5 linked regions of the Xenopus tropicalis genome follow. Each later gene encodes a partner of the first gene's protein in a complex. Links are inferred from orthologs where the notes say so. Each region holds a gene or a part of one and is shown in the gene's direction. Other genes may lie near its edges.

Region 1 (4,544 bases):
TGATGAAGGATATTTTGCAACTAAAACATAATTATTTGCTTAGGTGTTAGACACCTTTTAACCAAGACAAAAGAAAACATGATTAATATTTAGTAGATTAGTAAGCAAGTATAAACATATTCTGTTAACTGTTAACCTAGCTCTCCTAAACTCTCAACCGACTCAATTCAGAGTTTAAATGTTTAGTTGTAGATTAGAGGAGGACCTACGGGTAAAGCTTGGACACTGTAAGGAGACAGGGGAGGCGATGGGAATTGCTATGTGTAAGTGTGAGAAGCAAAAAGAGAGACGTGCAGAAGTATTGTGTGCTGTATACCTGCTTCCCTGCAAGAAGTCTGTAATAAAGTGTGTGTGATTCTTTGCAACTGGGTTAAGATGCCTACTTTTTTAGTAAAGACCGTGTACATGCATTTGACAGTAATGGGTGCCTGCCAGCCACAGGTAGCCCTGTTACAAGCCAACAGTATTACTTGGAAAAAGAAAGATTATTAAATAAAAAAAACCTGTAATGGTTTTGCAAGACTCCAGTGTCCCCAGTAAAGACTATAATGAATTTATCCGCCGCTTTATCCCAGAGCGAATCTGAAATACAGCCTCCTAAATACTTTAAAGGTTCAGTGGATTAAAACTGGTATTATTCACAGATATGCTGCATGAGCTGGGATCGGATTCAGAGCACAGCTGTTCAGAGATCCATATGAAATGTGACCTTTTGACCAGCTTATACTATTATTTAGGAAATTATATTCCGTTTGCTTTCAGTTAATTAAAGTGATACTGACACTAAAAAACTACTCTTCAAAATATGAATGTATGTAAAAAGTTACCTATAGGTCACGTTGATCATTTTTCACAGATAGGGCTGCTTTTGTAAGTAATTGTTGTTTGAAGTTCCTAAACCTGACTGTTTTGCCAACCTGACTGTCCCTTCTCAGCCTGTCAGTTATCATTTCTAATGCTAACAGACTCCTGCTGCACAAATATGGCTGCCCCCTCATAAAGCAACATGGGGGATCAGATGGGTAACATAAAAACAAATACTATTATGGAAAAATTATAAATAGCATGCAAAGGCAGTTGTAAAAAGGGTTTAATTTCTGGTGTCGGTATCTCTTTAACACCTGGTTGTATGACACACTGGTAACTGTTAAGTAATTCTGCAACTGCATAGAAGCTGGTTTCAGTATTGTTAAAGGGGTTGTTCACCTTCACATAAATGAAGCTATTTTAGCAGATTAGGTCATTTTAATAAAATATGTAATTTATCTGTTTTAGAGAAAATTACCTCTGAAGATAGCGTTTCTGTATAGGGCAGGATACAGCAGAGGCACCAGGGGAGGGGGTCGCTGAACCCTTTCTGCACAAGCCTGTGTCAGCGTGTGGAAGCTCTGTGTAACACTGAGCACTGGCAGTAGGAGTCTAAAGCTACTGTGCATGTTGCTTTTCTTGCCTCTCCTCTGATTGGCTGCTAAACTGCCCGGCACCTGGTGCTGCTGCTGTCTCTGCTATGAATGTTCAGGGAGGGAGGGGGGAGCAGGGGGGAAGCTCCCATGTGACTCACATTGCAGGGAAGAAACAAATGCTCCGCCTCCCTGAAATGTTTCTGTATGCCTTTGTGTGAACTGCAGCTTTTACAGTAAGTGTTAAACAGCTTATTCAAACACATAGATACACAGTCTTTGCGTGGCACATATTATCATACTCAGGGGAACATAATCTATCTTTTGGGTAGCAGTGAGAAAAGGTGGACAAACCCTTTAATGGGACTTGAAGCTCCTTTGCTTTCCACTGAACCTACGCACCAAACAGTGTGAAAAGCAGAGGAACTTTAAGTCACACAACCCATTACTTTACAACAAGGTGGGGGAGGTTGCATTATACTGTGAGTAAAAGGGGGGGTGGGGAAACTGGTTTCATTGAAAACAGGCAGACTATTACAATCTGTGAAATCAGGCATTTCTGTGTAAATATATATTCTGGAAGGTTAGTGTTTATGTACCTTACCTACATAAGCATAACTAAACAAAGTCTTGTCAAAAAGAGAGTATTATTATTATTAACATTTATTTATAAAGCGCCAACATATTCCGCAGCGCTGTACAATAAGTGGGTTACATACATTGGACATACAGAGTAACATATAAAGCAATCAATAACCGATACAAGAGGTGAAGAGGGCCCTGCCCAAAAGAGCTTACAATCTACAAGTATATTTAGCTTCTCCAGAGGGACATGAGAAGGTGAAAAAGAAATCATTCTATACTAGTAAAATGGGTAAAAATGTAAATTAGAATGCAACCAACAAATAGTCTTTATTTCTAATGTACTACAGAAAAACATCTGAAATGAAAATTTATTTGGAAGGTGAACAACCCATTTAAACTAATGCACTGATGCTGGAAATTAATTACAACAACTTGGGTTCCAAAGATTCCAGTATACGGAAATGAATGATATATGTATAACTCTGAATTGTGTTATACTGTATATTTACTTGTCAGTTATATTTAACTGACCCTATTCCTTAAGCATTAAAAATTCCACATTGCTAGTTTAGAAAAATTTGCATTTATATGCAAGCCATTTATACCCTTAAAGGAGAAGGAAAGGCTAATAAAGAGTTAATCTCAAGCTGCAGGCATACCTTCAGTTGTCTCAATAGTGCCCTTAAGTCTCCCCATATTTCTCCTGTTCAGATGATCAGAAGCATAATAGGGGGAAAAAATGCTGAGCTGTGTAAAGAAAGTTCCCATAATGCCATGCTCCTCCACCAAGACCAAGACTGGTTACATGCTCAGTTTGTAAGACTATGAGGAAGCTTCCTGCTGATTGGCCCAGATCCACATTCCTATGGGGGGGAGTGAGTTCTTAGCATTCTTTGGGGAGGGGGTGCAGGAGAGGGGAGAGAGGAGAGAGCTGGCACATGAATTACAGACACAAGAAATCTTTTGTATATATGTATATTTTTATTTATAAAGCGCTACTTATGTACGCAGCGCTGTACAGTAGAATACATTAATACGAACAGGGGGTTAATAAGATAATAGATAAATACAAAGTATAACAATAAATACAAATAAATACAAGATACAGTTGCAATAAGTTAAGAGTCAAAGACACAAGAGGATGGAGGTCCCTGCCCCGTAGAGCTTACAATCTATATGGGAGGGTAACTTACAGACACAAATAGGCAAATATAAGTGCTGTAGGTCACAGTGGGTGACATTACAATATAAGTGCTGATTCCCAGATCAGGTGCTGGGCGAGTTCTCCAAAAGGTAGTCTTTTAGTTTGGTTTTAAAAAGACTGGGGGAGGATTCTCTCCGGAGGAAATCAGGGAGGGCATTCCAGATGTAAGGGGCAGCAAGGCAGAAAGGTTAAGGCGGGAAACAGCAGTTGTAGTGGGGGGCGCAGCCAAGCGATTGCTCTGCGAGGAACGAAGGAGTCGGCCAGGGACGTACGGAGACACAAGGGAAGAGATGTAGTGAGGAGCAGAGGAATGGAGGGCTTTGAAGGTTAGAAGAAGTTTGTAAGATATTCTTTGTTTAATAGGAAGCCACGATAAGGCCTTTAGCAGGGGAGGGGCCTGAACTCTCCTGGATGAGAGGAGGAGAATTCTGGCAGCAGTATTTAATATAGACTGTAGGGGGGAAAGATGGGAGTTAGGGAGGCCGGTTAATAACAGGTTGCAGTAGTCCAGTCGGGATAGGATGAGGGCATGCATGAGCAGCCTAGCTGTTGCAGTAGAGAGAAAGGGACAGATTTTGCCAATATTGCGTAAGAAAAAGTGACAGGTTTTGACAGTGGAGTTAATGTGGTCAGAGAAGGAGAGACAGGAGTCAAAGATCACCCCCAAACAGCGTGACGAATCGACAGGGTTGATGAGGGTGCCTTCAATAGAGATAGAAAAGGGGGGAGTAGGACCAGGCTTAGGCGGAAAGATCATTAGTTCAGATTTTGACAGAGACCTCAGTGCAGCTTTTCTGTGAGTGCTTATGGCTGTATTTACATAGACTTTCTGATAAAGCTTACTTAGTTTTTACCTTTCCTTCTGTCTGTGACATCTTAGGTTAGCCATTCTGGCTAATTTGCCAGAACCAAAGATTGTCAGTCAAGGCCTGAAAGAAGGAGAAAGAGGATCCATCTAAATACTTGGAAAGTATTTTTTACAATGAGAGCTGCGAAGTTGTGGCTTTCTCTTCCTGAATCAGTTGTACTGGCTAATACATTAGAGAGCTGGTTGAATGCCTTTTTGGCAAGTGAGGGAATACAGGGTTATGGGAGATAGCTCTTAGTACAAGTTGATCCAGGGACTGGTCCAATTGCCATCTTGGAGTCAGGAAGGAATTTTACCTCCATCTGAGGCAAATTAGAGAGGCTTTGGAAGAATTTTTTTTTTGCATTCCTGTGGATCAACTAGCAATTGGACAGGTTTATATAGATATAAAAGTCTGAGCTAGATGGATGGGTGCCTTTTTCTAACCTTGCTTGCTATGTTACTATGTATAAAAGATGGATCACATGCAACAAAATATCAAGCAAAC
Region 2 (4,737 bases), on another chromosome or scaffold:
ATTAATAATAATTTATATAATAAGACCAACTGCAAAGTTGCTATAACATTCTATAAAGCTTACCTAAAGGTGAACCACCCCTTTACTATATCTTTCTTTAGCTGTTTCATTGGAGTCATTTTCAACAGTCATCTTTGTTTATTCGCCTTTGTCATGTTTGTTTGCCTTACCATCATCTCCAAGCTGTTCCTTGATTTTTTCAAAATCTGAACCTCCAACAACCCCAACTTTTACCCTTTTTCTCAGCTCTTCTAGAAATTCTGCCATGTCTTTTGTGACTTTCTGTAAAATACAATAATAATATAATAAAATATACTGCTCTGGGAAAAATCGTACTCATAATTCTCTCAAACATGGGGTCCAAAAGATGGACCCTTTATCATGGTTGAACTTCAGCTCCCTATTGCCTGCATCATTCATGTAAATGCAAGACATGCTGGGGTCATTTATCATTGTCCCACGTGCAAATGCTACAGCTCAAAGGGGCTCAAAATTCTGCCTATTACTGACCATTTACCCAGCATAAGGGCCAGCTATGCTCTGCACCTCACAGCAGATTAATAATTAATGTGCTGGCGGGCATGAATTTTTAGCCTCCCAAAGATAGAATGAAATGCAATTAGGGGGGAAGGATAGAAAACTCCTATATGCCCCCTCCCCAGTGGTCCCTTGTGAATACAGCTCTGCAGAGTGCCTGTTTTTTCAGGTTGTCAGGTTGGGGGTGCACAGGGTCTTGAACTCCTCGCTGGACCACAAAGACCTGCATCCATGGTGTGAATGCAGGCTGAGTTCAATTGTGCAAAAAACATGGCAGTTTGAACCAATATCTGCATTTTGTTAAAATTATCCTTACTTTTTATGCAGACAGTGCATAAAAAAAAAAAAGTAATCTAGGATTACTCGAAGATACAGAGCTTCTTGGTGATTTCACCTACTTGTAGCAGTGCTTGTCATTAGCAGTGTGTCCCAAAATGTACTCCAAGCAGCATGTACTAAATGTTTATTGTCATAAAGCAAGCTAAGACCTTTGTTGTTTGTCAGTAAAAAAGATAAACCCAGTCACAAGTACAAGAAAACTTATTCCCCATAGAAGGTGTAAACACTGACCATCACTTTTTTAGAAGTAAAGTGAAATGTATTAATTTTTTACCTAATTTTACCTACTTCTAGACTTAGTACAAGGAAAAAGCTTAATCACTGATGTGGTCACAATTTGTTAGCTACCTCTTAGTACTTATAATAATGTTATAATATATAAAGGGAATTTAACCCCCCCCCCCCTTCTAAATCAATTCTATGCAATTAGCAGGTCAAAATGGATGCATTTTACTGAAATGCAACATACACTATGAATTCCCGGTTGCAGCCCGGAATCCAACATAAACTATAAACTTAATGGGGCAGAAGGGTAGAATTTTGTACTGTTATTTATATTCTGGTAAAGTCTTAATCTTACTCTGTCCTATTGCGTTAACTTTAAGCACTGCATTTACATGCAGTATATAAATGCAACATATACACACATAACATGTTTGCAATGCTGTGTGAAAATAAACTTGTGCCAAAAGTGACAGATCCTTGTGAATAGTTCTCGGTTCTGATACTGGTACCTGCCTGGCTGCTGTCAGGGTGCCATCCACATCGAACAAGCACAGAACGTCACATTGAGCCATGACTGCTGCCAGTCGGATCTTTCTCAGCTCAGATGAATGGAGAAACACAGTCCTTTCAAATGTCAAACAAGCCACATCACAACTTCCTATTTGGGTCCTGAAGCCCAGAGCATGACGGGAACTGTATTGCCGGAGTCAGGATGTCACCGACTGTTCATTGACAAAAGAACTCAATCTCCCAGAATGCCTCGCATGGAATCGGAAGTGATTGTAGCTTAGTGCGCTGGGAAGTTTAGCAAAGGAGAAGCGTGTGTAGGAGTGCGGACAGGGGTGAGTATAGAAGAATCGAGCTGCCTGTCCTTCCCTTAGGCTTAGGGAACTCGTACAAGGAAGTGTTCAAATATGACATTTTATTTAAAAAATTGATGTATTTAGAAACAGAAAATTGCTATGCACAAGAGAAATGCAAAAATAAATAAGAAGGGCGTTGGGTGCCTTGATGTTGGTTTTATTAGTAACTGGTGTTTTAAAGAAATAAACTTGCACCACAAATTTAACAGATCACATTCATTGACAGCGTTGCGCTACGTTAACTCCGGCTTGTCCCAGCCTGGCCCGGAAAGGCAGGAAAACTGGCACCAAGGGGGCAATCCTTTCTTATTCAGTCTGATAAACAACTAAGGAAAAGGGGCATCAAAGTGGGTATCTTTGCCATCCTGCCAGCAGATATATGGGTTAAACTGAGTGGCCAAGGGCGTTTAACCCCTTCATCACCCCTGTTACTTACTCAAATAGGCAGAATCATCATTCATTTATATAATGCCAGCAAATTATGCACCACTTCACAATAAATTTAAACAAACAGGGATTTTAAAAAGTTTAACAAACACGGGTATGCAGAGTAAGAATAGGGTGAGAGGGCCCTGCTCGCAAGAGCTTACAATCTACAGGACTGCAAAGATGCCCAGTAACATCTAGTTATGCCAATGTGCATTGGTATTTAATCCATTGTTGCCACAAGTCTTTTTTTTAAAGGGATTATTCACCTTTTTGTCAATTTTTACTATTTTAAGAATGTCCCAAATTTTTCATTGGTCTTCATTTTTTAACTTTTATAATTTTTCAATTATTTGCCTTTCTCAGAAATTCTCTTTCCAGCTGTCATATGGGGGGTCACTGACCCATTATTATTCTTCCGCTTCTTCTTCTTCTTAGTGCCCCCCATTTTCTAACCGCTACTCCTCCTACAGTTTTAGGGGTACAACACCCAAACTCCCCACACTTCTTCGGCCTATAGAGGAGCAGGTTGCTTGTGCTTTTCTAAGCGATTGCGCCGCTCCGAACCCCCCAATTTTTCCATTGACTTTGACAGGGAAGATATTCAAACTGCTGGCACACTTACAGCTTTGAAGCTGCACCCCCCAAACTTGAATAACATAATAATGGGGTCACCCCGAATGAAACAGCAACATTTGTTGGATGACCCCCAAAGTGGGAGGGGCCAATCAAATTTTACCCATTGACTTTAATGGGGAAATTGAAACTGCTGCCAATCTTACAGCTTTGAGGCTACACTCCCCAAACTTGAATCACATAGTCATGGGGCCAGCCTGAATGAAAATATGATGATTGTTGGATGCCCAAAAGTGGGCGGAGCTGTGAACAGCCAATCAGATTTTACCTGTTGACGGTGGAAGTCCCCAAACTTTGCAGGGTTAGGCACCAGGTGACTGTGGTTCAAGGTTAAAAAAGTGGACGGAGCCACCAACAGCCAATCAGAGTTTACCTATTGACTTTCAATTTTGCTTTAAATTTAAAATGCTGCCAGTCTCACACTATTTATGCCAGGGTGCCCACTGTTTGTCACTGGGTGACTTTGACTCAAGGTTAGAAAAAGGGGCACAACCACCAATCACAATTCACCTATTGACTTTTATTGGTTTAAACTGCTGCCGTTCTTTAACTATTAATCCTAGGGTCCCTAAACTTACCAGAGTTAGTCACTGGGTAACTGCAGTTCCAGGTTAGAAAAAGGGGGTTGAGCCACCAACCACCAATCAAATTTAAGTTGCTGCCATTCAGACACTATTAAAACCAGGGTCCCCAAACTTTGCACAGTGGTTTTTACTGTATAACTGTGGTCCAAGGTCAGAGAAAGTTGGAGGAGCCCATGCAGTGACTTCATGTTTTTCAACCCAACATGAAGTTTTTTCTCAAACTTCCCTTTCTAGTTATTATTGAAACTTTTTAGCCTTATCCTTATATACATGCCCTCTCATTTTAATGTTCTGGCCTCTTTTAATCCAGGGCCTGGTTTCTACGTTAAATTGACCCCTAGCAACCAGTTAGCTGCTGAAAATCCAAATTGCAAATTGTTTCCGAATATCACTCTCTACATCATAGTAAAATTTAATTTAAAGGTGAACTACCCCTTTAAATGAGAGACTGAAAGATGAACGATAAGTAATAATAACAATAAAATTGTTACCTGAGAAAGAAATAACTTTTTGAATTTAAAACTTGGAAAGAGGCAGAAGTGGAAAGCAAATCATTAAAAAACAAAATTAAAAAAAAAAAAGTAGCTGAAATCATGCCATTCTATAACATATTCTGGCCTTGGAACATGTGGTATGACAAATTATTTGAGCACTACATGTAAATTGCAGCACAGTACTGGTATAGACAGTCCAAGAGGCAGTTAATTAGCAACAGGTACCATAGCCACAATGCAGTAGTTTGGAACACAGAATGTAAGATGAATAATAGAGGGTATGAACAGAAAGATAAGAAATACAAGATAAGAATAGAAAGCTGTGGGTGGAAAATAAGCAGAATAGGAAGGCTAATAATTTCAATTTTCTGTGAACTTTTCCTTGAAAAATTTTAGGTAATGTGAGTATATATAAGGCATTATGATCTAACAGTTATATTGTTTCTCCTTTGCAGGACCCAGTCATGGCCCATGTATGCCTGATATCTAGATGCATAAAGTATTTACACATGGGCCAGTTGGCCTGGAGTTCCAAGTTACTTTGCAGAACAACTTTCTTCAGATCCTCTTCAGTGTCACTGACATCATGTCAAGGCTGTTCTTATCTCTTTCTTCATCATCGAAGCAAAGCAC
Region 3 (3,722 bases), about 8.6 Mb from region 1:
TATTGAGCTAATGTAATCGTTTGGCCCTAGGGTCAATACACAGCAATCTGTAATATATCGATATATATCGGCTATATGAAATACAACATATACTATTTCTTTTCATGTGAGTGTGGTTGGTATGTGTCTGTGTATGTGCCCTTGTCCAGAGAAACCACAGAAACAATGTGGCATGAGAAATGGCAGCTTGAGCCGCTTTTTTCACCCAGAATAGTTTTTCTTCTGCTTTTCTTCTAAGGTGTGAGGCAGCAGCTACTAATAGCTTTAACCACCAGAACAGAAATTTGCTTTTTGTACACCCTCCTTACAGTATTTTTCCTTATAGTTTTAAGGGGAAGTTTACATTCACACTTATTAGGTTAGTAAAAGAGTGCTTTGTGGCCTGTATGATTTATGTTGCGTGACATTTTGCAAGTGCAATGTGACCTGGCAGATTTGCCCATTGCACTTCCATTTTAATTTACTATTAATTTGTTTAGCCTTAGAGTGTTCCCCCCCCTTTGTATAGGTGGCATTACTGTTGGAAAACCAAGAAAATGATAATGGCCCTATATAACATCAAAAAGTTTATACTGGCTGCGCTAGTACACAATAAAGGTAGAGAAGAAAAATAAATACATGTGTTAATACATATACAGGTATGGCATCCATTATCTAAAAACCCGCTACCCAGAAAGCTCTGAATTTCAAAAAGGCCATCTCCCATAGACTCCATTTTAATCATATAATTCACATGTTTTACATAATTAACTTTTTCATCCAGGTATAGCTCCATATAAAATATTAATTTACTGTGACACAAATGTGATTCATTCTTTCCTCTTGTGGATCAGTTGAATGCTACAGTACATGGAATTTATATGGGTAAAAGACTGAACTTGACATGTGTCTGTGCCTTTTTGTACCTGAGCTACAATGCTTTTGCAGCAGTACATAAAGCACAGACTTGCAATGCAGTGACAGGGAAAAAATGTAAGCCAGATGCCATAATGCAGTTATTTACTGCAGGTTGTTGTGTCTGAACTGCAGTATTGAACAATAAATTCAGTACCATGCTGGTTTGTGTATTTTTTTCCAGCTTTTACAAAATGTTGCAAGGAGAGTGGCCTCCTGATGGTGGTGAAATGCCGAAATGAAAACGCAGCGCTGAAGGAGTGCCTGACTCTTCAGTAAGTTGACTTTTCTGTTTTGATATTTATATATAATAGCCTTAAAAACTGTGCAAACATTGTATAAAGTATAATAATAAAATAAAAAATTTTGGTTTCCTTTAGTGCAAATATCATACATGATTTAAACATGATTATTAACTAGGGACAGTCTTGTAATTCAGATTGCCTCTCATGTGCTAGCCCAAATAAAAATCCTTAACCCTGTAACAGGAAAACCCTCTTTCTTTATGGTTAGTAGATAATAGGCCATATATACTAAACAGAAATATCTGTAAGATTCCTTCAGTTATTTCCAATAGGGGTAGTTAATGAAGAATTTGCATACATTAAAAGCAGCCCTGTCAGAAAGGAAACAGACTTAAATGACACCTATCAGGCTAACAGAGGCTGCACTATTCTGCATGCTTGTGTCCCAGAATGGCCGCCCACACCAGGAGCTCCCTCACAGAGCGGGCGGCATAGTGCCGGGGGTGGAGAATAGTCTCCCCCAGTTCAAATGCAAGCTCTATTATCCCACATCTCTGGTGGGGGGAAACAATTTTCCTCAATACGTACCCTGTACAGTGTTGCAGAAATAGTATTGGTATTGATATGGAAGTGGTAACTGAGGAGAATATTTAAGGCTACATGCTCTGCAGTGGGGGGAAATTGCCATCAAACAGAGGGGATCCCAGAAGACTAAAATTGCCTGGAAGCTATTCTCAGTAATAGCCTAAATTTATAATGACTTTCAGCCAATCACAGGAGCAAGTCACACTTTCCTGTCAAATAGTATTCTGGCCTTTCTCTTTGTTATTTAAGATTTTGCATATACACACCAGACAAATATAAAGGGAATATGATGAGATTGTGTAGTGGCCCCTGACATAGAGGCAAGCTGAAGTAAAGAGAGAGAGGCCACTGTTTAGGCACATAAAGCAACTATATATATACATATATACATACATACAACCCTACATATATTCTTTTCCAACTGATAATGCCAATATCACAGTGAAACTTAGGCAAAAAAGGCATAGCTACTAGCACTTAACACAGTGATGTACACACTCCTGGCTGATACTTATACACAGCACCTGGATCACTACTCCGCGTTCTTCACTTGCAACTATCTCTGGTTCCATGAGCAGGGAATTGGCAGCAGAAAGGAGGCAATTCAGTTACAGAACAGGAGAGTAAAGAACTGGAACTTGTAGGAGAGGGAATTCTTCTGTATTATATTTTACATGTGTATATATACATCTTTTATTTGGAAACTGATTATCCAGAAAGCTCCTAATTACCAGCTCCTGTCTATTAAAGCAAATGATTCTTCTCTGTAATAGTAAAACAGAACCTTGTACAGCACAAACTCAGCAAAAAAAATCCTATTGGGTTTAGTTTATGTTTAAAAGATTTTTTTTTAGCAAATATGTGGAGGCATTTTTTCTTTTTTTAAATCTTAACTTTCCAAGATGTATTATGCAACAAAACTGGGACAATTCCGAAACCGAAAACGCTTTATCTAAAACCTGTCGAGATCATGTCACAGTCAATGGCAGAAAGATCCCTTATGCAGAAAACCAGGTCCCAGGCATTTCAGATACAGGTATGGGACCTTTCTGGAGCCGGAACTTTCTGGATAACAGGTTTCTGGATAATGCATCCCAAACCTGTAAAAGATCCCAAACTTGTAATTCAAAATGGATTCCCTATAGATGTACTGCTGCTTCCTTATTGCCATTGTGTTGTATTCTTATTCCCAAAGCTACAAAGATCCGGCTTTATATGAAGAATGCAAGCAGGAATATTTAAAAGAAAGGGAAGAGTTTCAAAAAACAGGAATCTCGTCAAAGAAAAGGCAAGAGAAAGTGCCAAATAGTATATAATCAAACTGTCTTCTCCTGAGTGTTTCCCCATTTCTAGTTTCTTATAATAAATGTTTCTTTTGTAAAAAAAAAGTTCTGTTTATCTGCTGCTTTTATTCTCGGCTTCTATATCCGCATTGAATTATTTTTGTTTCAAATAGGCAGGAACTCATTTAGGCAAATACCATGATGATATCTATATAGAAGTGTTTGCTGTAAGAGTTCTACGTGCCGCAGTATGGGGCAGGGCCGAGACACATACGGCCGAGCACCTTATTGGAATGTGTGGAAACTTCAGTACTTTTCCTGCCCCTTCATTTGATTTCAGTTTGCTAAAGTATTGTGGCTATATATTTTAGCCGTGCTCCCATAGTTGTGTCTGTGGACATGGGAGGGTACAAAGAGAAGACTGCAGCTTTAAGTTGCACACCAGAGTAGAAGACTGCTTTGTGTAAGTGCAGATATACAGTAAGGGACATACAGTATTAAGGCATAGGAATGGTAGCTTATCTGAAAGTGTGTGCAAAGATGGAGTTGATATCTATATATGACAACTGTTTCACAGAGCACTATGGGAAATGTAGTGTTTGGGGAAATGGATGGAGTAGGTTTACCCCTTCCCCTATTACACCGATTTATAGCGAGTGTGTAACACAGTAAGTAGGCTTGATAAAGGGTGGTTGTCTAGCCTTTGGCAGAAATA
Region 4 (3,227 bases), about 43 Mb from region 1:
GATCTCATCCAGAGGTAGAGTACCAACTTGCATTCTGCTCAAACAGGAAGTTGACACTAAACTGGTTACTGTGCATGCCTTCCCTCTCCTGCTTCACTTGCATTTCATTGATTGGATTGGCTGAATCTTGGCAGCCAATGGTATCAGATATGCAAATGGAGCAGAAAAGGAAAGGCATGCATTGAAACAGTTCTCTGTGAACTTTTTTTATTTGGCTATCTGCCATGTCCTGTTCTGGGAAATCACCTACAGAAGGAGTACAGAAAATATTTATGCAAAATGTCTTTTTTTTTTTTTTTTTTTTTAAGATCTGTATTGACTGATGCAAATTACTCATGTAGCATAGGCTATACACTTATATGGGATGCCAATAAAAAAATGACACGGGTTATAGACACCATGCTTAGAGACAACCCTCTCAAAACTGATTTTAATTGCTCCAGCTGAAATATCCAAATGAGGTGTGACTTTCATTTACAAGCGAATGAGCAGATGTCTTGGTCATATTTATCATAAGGTTGAAAAGCCAATTCTCTATAAAATTCTCAGTCATTCCTATACACAATAAATATGTCCTTTGTAGTACTGGTAAAGGTGGCTATACGTGGGCAGATTTAAGATGCTAGTTTGGCCCCTTCAATCAGAGGCATCAGCTTATCTGTCCATGTATGGGGCCCTCCAACTGGCCTTAAAAATCAGCCAGATATCAGTCAGGCAGGTTTAAAAATCGTGCCAGGCAGAGACTGCATTGGCTTGATGGACCAAGCACACAAAACAGTTGCAAAGTTTACTATAGTCTATACAGGCTAGCTGCTTGCAAAAAATATTTGATTAACCAATGTGATGTCCACCTTCTTTGCTTTAACTTGCTTTTACTTAACTTTTTTTCTTTAACTTTTAAAAGGTTATTGGTGCTTTTGGTGAGCCCATCAAAGGTTACGGAGAGACTACAAGACGTGGTAGAAGACAGCATGTCAGGTAAGTTTTAGGTTTGTCAAAAAAAATTAAATAAAAGTTTACTGCCATATTGTTGTAATGTTTATTACATAGAAAGCTGTATACATTATTAAGAATTATTGTGAATTACAAACTTTACCACACCTGATATAATGGGTTTTCCTTCATGGTCATAAAAGCACACAGATATTAGTGAAGAAAACCTGAATGGTAAATTATCAATGGGAATTTGTACTGGAGTACAGTTAATTCTCTTATTATATGTACTTTTTCCCTTCACATGCAACAGATGTGGTTTGACATAAAGTACTTTAGATACCACCATTGTAAATTTTAGATTAAGATTCTTTGGGGCTACTCTGAGCGGACTATCGTAAGGGAATTGTGAGACCCAAGCTATGGAGTGCATACATTTTGTAGGGGTGCAGGAGTGGTGCCAAACTTGGAGGGCTAACCATTCATAAAAGTGGTCCGTAGGCATAGTGGAATGAATGAGAAACACCCTCACAAAGTTTATTTTTTGATAAAAAGAATTCAAAGCACTCAAACACTCGCAACCTAAATACAATGAATTAAAATGAAATTATGACCTGATCCACCATATGTTGTATGCACACAACAGGAGATTTTTGTTTTTGTTTTTTTTTGTTAAGTGCAGTAGAAATGCCACCCCTGTAAAATGCATATGGACACACTGTGCAATTTCCAAATTTATTTTACACAGGTGCAGTATTTTTTATTGCACTTACAATCTGTCTGACATTCATCTGCATTGTTGGGCAGTCTCCTATATGTATGCACTTTGTTATAATTGTTACCCTTTATTTAATAGTGGCAAAAACAACACAGCTATTGTTCATTCACATCAGCTCCTGCCCAGTGGAGCTTATATTTTAAGGTACCGCCATCATCAGACAATCGCTTGATTTTGGAGTCTGCCAAAAAAACAGAATGCCCAGAGAAAACATTTGCAGACATAGTAAACATGCAAGTGAATGTATATAGGTCTAGGTCAGAATCTCTAGCAATGCATGCCAGCTGACGGCTATAAAAAATGTAAATAATTTAAAAAAGTATAGGTTGTCTTAAAATACATCTATAGTTATAGTTAAAGGGGTAGATCACCTTAAAATTAACAACCTGATTTTGTTTTTTTGTTTTTTTTTACTAAATGTTGTGTATTCTTTGCTTTAGTCACATGGAGTATGTGAAAGATGGCATAAAGTGCATGAGGCTAAAGTTCTACATAGAGGGCTTGGAACCAAGAAAGCAAGGAACAGTGCACACAGAGGTGAAAGAGGTATGTGGTAATGAACAGTTGTAGGCTTGTTACTTGTCATTTATATCATATACCTGAAATATTCTATATTTTGTTCCTTTAGAACCCAGAAAGTGGAAAATATGAATTTCAGTACATATTTGTTGAAATTGATACTTACCCACGGCGAACAATCGTCATAGAAGACAACAGACGCCAAAGTTAAGAAGAAAATCATTGTTTGCCGCTGCTATATCTGTATAAAAGGTGCTTTACAACTGTGTGGTTTCCTGTAATGTTAGAAGGTTTTGCTGTAGGCAGGGCCTTCAGTTCAAATGTCTGTGAGAAACTGAATCATGGCTTCTTTTTATTCTGAAAATAAATGAATCATGTAATTTAATCTCTTTCATGAACCCCCTTTGTTTTATTTAACACTCCACATATCCTCCTCTGCCTTTCATGCTTATAACTTGAATATTTGCTTAATTATATTTTGTTCATTATTCAAAATGATTAATACCACCTTTGTGCCTTCAGCCTTAAGAAGCACTGTTTCTTCTGCCTGACAGACAGAGCAATGCATAGGCAGAGAGGAGGGAAGGTATTTTACCAAGTTGAAGTTTAGCTGGAAGAATAGGGGTCATTGCTGTTCTAAATGATGTTGATACCTGGGCAGTACAGTACAAATTCACCATAACACTTGAAATTAGGGATCCATTTTTTGGGTTTGGCCGAACCCTTTGTAAAGGATTTGCCCAAATCCTAATTAGCATATGCTAATTAGGTTTTAGAAGGGTTAAATCTAGAAAAAATAGGAAAAATTTCAACTTCCGTGTCTCACGTGATTTTTTGGATTTGGTTAGGCCAGAGGCACAGATTGGGCTGAATCCTGCTGAAAAAGGCCGAATCCCGAACCAAATCCTTTATTTGGTGTATCCCTACTTGAAATAAATATTATATAAACAGGTCTGATGGCAGTATTACCCCGCACACTCGCACACATGCCAAGTGT
Region 5 (4,757 bases), on another chromosome or scaffold:
AATAATGTAATTGTCATTGTCCATTTCTAGAGCAGTCTTACTGGCGTGTCTGTGGCTAATGTAGTGCTTATTGGCCATTTCTACAGTGGTGTTACTGGCTTGTCTGGGGTTAACAGAGTTCTCATTGGCGATCTCTACAGTGGTCTTAAGCTGGCCATACACGCACCGATAATATCATATGAAACCTCATTTCGGCGAGGAGGAGGCTGCTGATATCGGTCGACTTGCCGATCGGCCAGGTTAAAAGATTTAGATCGGGCGCCATAGAAGGCACCTGAGCAAAATCTGCCGTCAGGGCTGAATTGGCAGAAGGAGGTAGAAATCCTATTGTTTCTACCTCCTTATCTGCCGTTTCAGCCCTGAACGGTTAGTGGCTGATTGAACGATCTTTCGTGCGACCGATGACAAATCGCCATGTGTGTGGCCACCTTTAGGTTGATATACTGATTATTCATTTTCTGTAGTGATTATACTGGCAGGTCTTGGGTTATTATGCCCTGATTATATTGACATGTCTGGGGTTAATACGCCTGTGTGCCTAGGGTGGTAGCTTTAGGGGGGTGGTCCTGGGGTGCTTATATAATTGAAAAAAATAAATAAAAAACTAAAAAACCTCCCCATTAGGGTTGCCAACTTTGCCAGAGGGGACGGGGCAGACGGCATTGGGGGTCGAGCAGTGATCACAATGATGTCAGTGATGCCGAAGTGGGGTTACTGCATCATTTGATGCAATTGGCTGGATTTCTGTCCAGTTTTCTCAGTGTTTTCAACTGGAGAGAACTGAACAGCCCTTTAAAAAATTTGGACGTCCATTCAAAACTCTTGTTTCAAAAGTGCCCAGGGTGGCCTTAAACTTAAATACAGCCCTGTCCTTTATCCATTTTATCTTGTAATTATACTGAAACATTTGTGGTTTATATGCTCCTTATCAATTGTTTGTGGTTATACTGACATATTTCAGTTAATATAATTAACTTATTTAATTATTATTTAACTTTTATTAATTTAAATGTTTTGTTTATACTGACATGTCTAGGGTTAAAATAATCTTTATCCATTTAAGGGATTATACTGGCACCTTTTGGGTTAATTTACATTTCCTTTTGTAATTATACTGGCATGTCTGTAGGATGTAAAATAGGTGTAGTATGTAGGGGTTGGGCCAGTTCTTTTTACCCCTCTTTATATTTTTTAAATGTTGGAAAGTATATGCTCAAATCTGTATATTAGCAGACGTGACAGGGGCATGCTTGGTGCACTGCATGGAAGGACAAACTTTGCTTATGTAGCATTTTTTTGCTACTTATTTATTTTACATACCAAAATTTGTAAAGACAAAAGAGTCATTTACTTAGGCAAACCTTATGCAGTACATGCAGTAAGTCCTTTCCTACCACAGCTGATGTATGTTCTATTTTTAGCGGAACCAAGGTAATAGAACTCTGTTTCCTCAGGTTGGGGAAGAGTTCAAGCAGAGCTCTAGTTATTAGCCAACCAGAACACAGCTTTCGTTAGTACTTGCTATATTGACAAATCATATCGCATAACACATCCACAGAAATGATTGCTGCCCGTGTCCTTGTTGCTTCCTGGTTTGCCCTTTTCTCCCATGTCTGACAAGGCTGCTTTGTGATCATGTCCAAAAACACCAGGATAGTTCTCATTTTCGGTGGTTTTGTCACTGCAGTGGCAGCAGCTTTCTACCCTATATTCTTTCACCCGCTCATGCACATAGATGAATACAGTAAGTAACCTGTAACTGGTACACAAGGAGAGCATCATTGCTACTGACATGCCAGTACTTCACATGGACACCATGATAGTTTTTTATTTTAAAGGGAATATAAATACGAGCATCGGTATTATATGGATTTATGTTATTTTAATTAATTACTTGTTCTCAGTTTAAATACTAGTTGCCAATAATTGTTAAAGGGAATTTAAACCCCAACACTTGTATGTGTTGTACATGTGATTTGTACATGTTGCGGATGACAGCTGATTAACAGCCCTGTAATAAAACTTGTGATGCTGCCTTCTGCAACATTATTTCAAGAGTCAGAACCATAAGAGTGAAGACACATGGAGCTACTAGTAGCAGCTACTTGTCACGGCTACTAAAACAGACAATGCTGATCATTTACTGATAACTGTCTCTACATGTGTTTTAGCAGAGGCAATTCTCAGTATTGTCTATGGCAGGGTGTTTAGTAGCTGTGACAAGTAGCTGCTACTAAGTAGCTCCATGTGTCTTCGCCCTAAGGGCTCTGGCACACGGGGGAGATTAGTCGCCCGCGATTAACTCCCTGTTCGCGGGCGACTAATCTCCCCGAGTTGCCTACCCCTGCCATCCCACCGGCGAACATGTAAGTCGCCGGCGGGATGGCAGACGCGGCGGCGCGATTTCGCGCAAGTCGCCGAAAAAGACTTGCGAGTCTTTTTCGGCGATTCCCTGAAACTGCCCCGCCGCGTCTGCCATCCCGCCGGCGACTTACATGTTCGCCGGTGGGATGGCAGGGGTAGGCAACTCGGGGAGATTAGTCGCCCGCGAACAGGGAGTTTTATCGCGGGCGACTTATCTCCCCCGTGTGCCAGAGCCCTAAGTGGGACAGAAAAATACTTGTGATTAAACGTACAACATTTAGTAACCCATAGCAACCAATCAAAAACATTAGCTGACCAGTAGATGCTGCCTGCTGATTGGTTGCTATGGGCTACAAGAGTTATTTTACCCCACTCTGTCTTCAACGAAGTGTAAATCAGTTCTTTGCGCACAGGTTATGGCATTAACTGTTATTATGAAATAGGTTGCAAAATAAATCTGGTGATGATAAAGGGATATTGCTCCATCTTTTTTCACAATGAAATTTTGAAGGGACACTAGCATCACTAAATACAGTTTGTATTTGTGTCTGAAAACAATGCGCAATATTCATTAAAGTGTATTTGTAAAAATGATTTGCAGAAAGGGATGCTATTTTTTCACTGTCTATTCACATATTCACTTTACTCTATGTAGATTTATCATATATTAACATAACCTATAACAGAATTATGTAGTACAGGTATGGGATCCCTTATCTGGAAACCCCTTATCCAGAAAGTTCTGAATTACGGAAAGCCCATCTCCCATAGACTCTATTATAAACAAAACAGTACCTTGTACTTGATCCCAAGATATAATTACTCCTTATTGGAGGCAGAACAGCCCTATTGGGTTTATTTAATGGTTAAATGATTCCCTTTTCTCTGTAATAATAAAACAGTACCTGTACTTGATCCCAACTAAGATATAATTACCCCTTATTGGGGGCAGAACAGCCCTATTGGGTTTATTTAATGGTTAAATGATTCCCTTTTCTCTGTAATAATAAAACAGTACCTTGTACTTGATCCCAACTAAGATATAATTACTCCTTATTGGGGGCAGAACAGCCCTATTGGGTTTATTTAATGGTTAAATGATTCCCTTTTCTCTGTAATAATAAAACAGTACCTGTACTTGATCCCAACTAAGATATAATTACCCCTTATTGGGGCAGAACAGCCCTATTGGGTTTATTTAATGGTTAAATGATTCCCTTTTCTCTGTAATAATAAAACAGTACCTGTACTTGATCCCAACTAAGATATAATTACTCCTTATTGGAGGCAAAGCACTCCTATTTGGTTTATTCAATATTTAAATTATTTTTAGCAGACTTAAGTTATGGAGATCCAAATTACGGAAAGATCCCTTATCCGGAAAACCCCAGGTCCCAAACATTCTGGATAACAGGTCCCATACCTGTATTAATATCATATTTTGCAGTCTGCCACTAGGTGGTGCTGGTAGGTAACTCTGACAGCATAGAAAGCTTTCTGTTAAAAACCCAGAACTATGGCATTGCTGCGAAAATGCCAGATGCTGTTTAACAAGCTCTGAGGATTCTTCAAATTCCCCCCTAGAAAAAAGAAAAAATCTTTGTGTAGACATAGACTTCATAAAGGGGTAGTGCTCCAACAGGGGTTCGTAATTTGGGATTTTGCTGAACTCACTTTAAGCCTTTTGTTTTAATCACAAAATCAGTATAGTTTATGTTATTTCTTGAGCTTAACAGGGAAATATAAACTACTTCATGTTTGGTTCTTGTGAGGTAGATAATAGATACCTGTGCGCAGTTAAGCAGAAGTCCCTTGTGCAGGGAAATTATCTGTGCACTTGTTTGCATGTAACAGTTATTTCCAGTGAAAGCAGTGTGCACTACATAGTGTAGTCCATATCAGGGCTGTGGAGTCGGAGGCAATTTTGGGTACCTGGAGTCGAAGTCGGAGTCGGCAAAAAATGAACCGACTCCGACTCCTACTAAATTTAAATGGGAATAAAAAAAAAAAAATAAAGCAAGTTTAAATGTCCCAATTCACAAACAGTCATAATTAATTGCTTCTCTGCTATAAGAATAAAGCCCAATGCACGCAGTGCATAAACGAACACGTTGAGTGACCATGAAGCATGCTTTTCATTGACTGTATGAATGTATAAAATACATTAGCATATTAAAAACAGAGGAGTCGGAGTCGTGGAGTCGGAGTCGGAAGTATCAGAAACTGAGGAGTCAGAGTCGGAGGATTTATCTACCGACTCCACAGCCCTGGTCCATATAGCCTACCCCATAGGAAAACATGAAACATTTTAGCTGAATGTAGCTTGTTTAGCTGTACAATATATTAATTATTTGTCTGTTTGTATTAGAGAAAGAGCAAGCTGTAAACCGAAC

The links.
Region 2: coa1 (region 1) and tmem186 share a complex: the UniProt entries of both Homo sapiens proteins name them as parts of the mitochondrial complex. The link is inferred for Xenopus tropicalis from reciprocal best matches to the Homo sapiens genes COA1 and TMEM186.
Region 3: coa1 (region 1) and cmc1 share a complex: the UniProt entries of both Homo sapiens proteins name them as parts of the MITRAC (mitochondrial translation regulation assembly intermediate of cytochrome c oxidase complex) complex. The link is inferred for Xenopus tropicalis from reciprocal best matches to the Homo sapiens genes COA1 and CMC1.
Region 4: coa1 (region 1) and timm21 share a complex: the UniProt entries of both Homo sapiens proteins name them as parts of the MITRAC (mitochondrial translation regulation assembly intermediate of cytochrome c oxidase complex) complex. The link is inferred for Xenopus tropicalis from reciprocal best matches to the Homo sapiens genes COA1 and TIMM21.
Region 5: coa1 (region 1) and smim20 share a complex: the UniProt entries of both Homo sapiens proteins name them as parts of the MITRAC (mitochondrial translation regulation assembly intermediate of cytochrome c oxidase complex) complex. The link is inferred for Xenopus tropicalis from reciprocal best matches to the Homo sapiens genes COA1 and SMIM20.

The regions. Positions count from the first base shown.
Region 1 is NC_030682.2:57,067,310-57,071,853, forward strand, and holds the start of coa1 (cytochrome c oxidase assembly factor 1 homolog), read left to right. Parts: upstream 1-1,527; 5' UTR 1,528-1,636; intron 1,637-4,544. UniProt on the Homo sapiens protein: Component of the MITRAC (mitochondrial translation regulation assembly intermediate of cytochrome c oxidase complex) complex, that regulates cytochrome c oxidase assembly.
Region 2 is NC_030685.2:38,351,632-38,356,368, forward strand, and holds the start of tmem186 (transmembrane protein 186), read left to right. Parts: upstream 1-1,848; 5' UTR 1,849-1,943; intron 1,944-4,559; 5' UTR 4,560-4,568; coding exon 4,569-4,737. Other genes in the region: pmm1 (phosphomannomutase 2), read right to left, coding at 171-282, 1,611-1,673. UniProt on the Homo sapiens protein: As part of the MCIA complex, required for efficient assembly of the mitochondrial complex I.
Region 3 is NC_030682.2:48,482,360-48,486,081, forward strand, and holds the end of cmc1 (COX assembly mitochondrial protein homolog), read left to right. Parts: intron 1-1,078; coding exon 1,079-1,169; intron 1,170-2,919; coding exon 2,920-3,040; 3' UTR 3,041-3,112; downstream 3,113-3,722. UniProt on the Homo sapiens protein: Component of the MITRAC (mitochondrial translation regulation assembly intermediate of cytochrome c oxidase complex) complex, that regulates cytochrome c oxidase assembly.
Region 4 is NC_030682.2:100,286,165-100,289,391, reverse strand, and holds the end of timm21 (mitochondrial import inner membrane translocase subunit Tim21), read left to right. Parts: coding exon 1-14; intron 15-904; coding exon 905-978; intron 979-2,151; coding exon 2,152-2,257; intron 2,258-2,339; coding exon 2,340-2,441; 3' UTR 2,442-2,615; downstream 2,616-3,227. UniProt on the Homo sapiens protein: Participates in the translocation of transit peptide-containing proteins across the mitochondrial inner membrane.
Region 5 is NC_030677.2:31,912,993-31,917,749, forward strand, and holds the start of smim20 (small integral membrane protein 20), read left to right. Parts: upstream 1-1,551; 5' UTR 1,552-1,635; coding exon 1,636-1,744; intron 1,745-4,732; coding exon 4,733-4,757.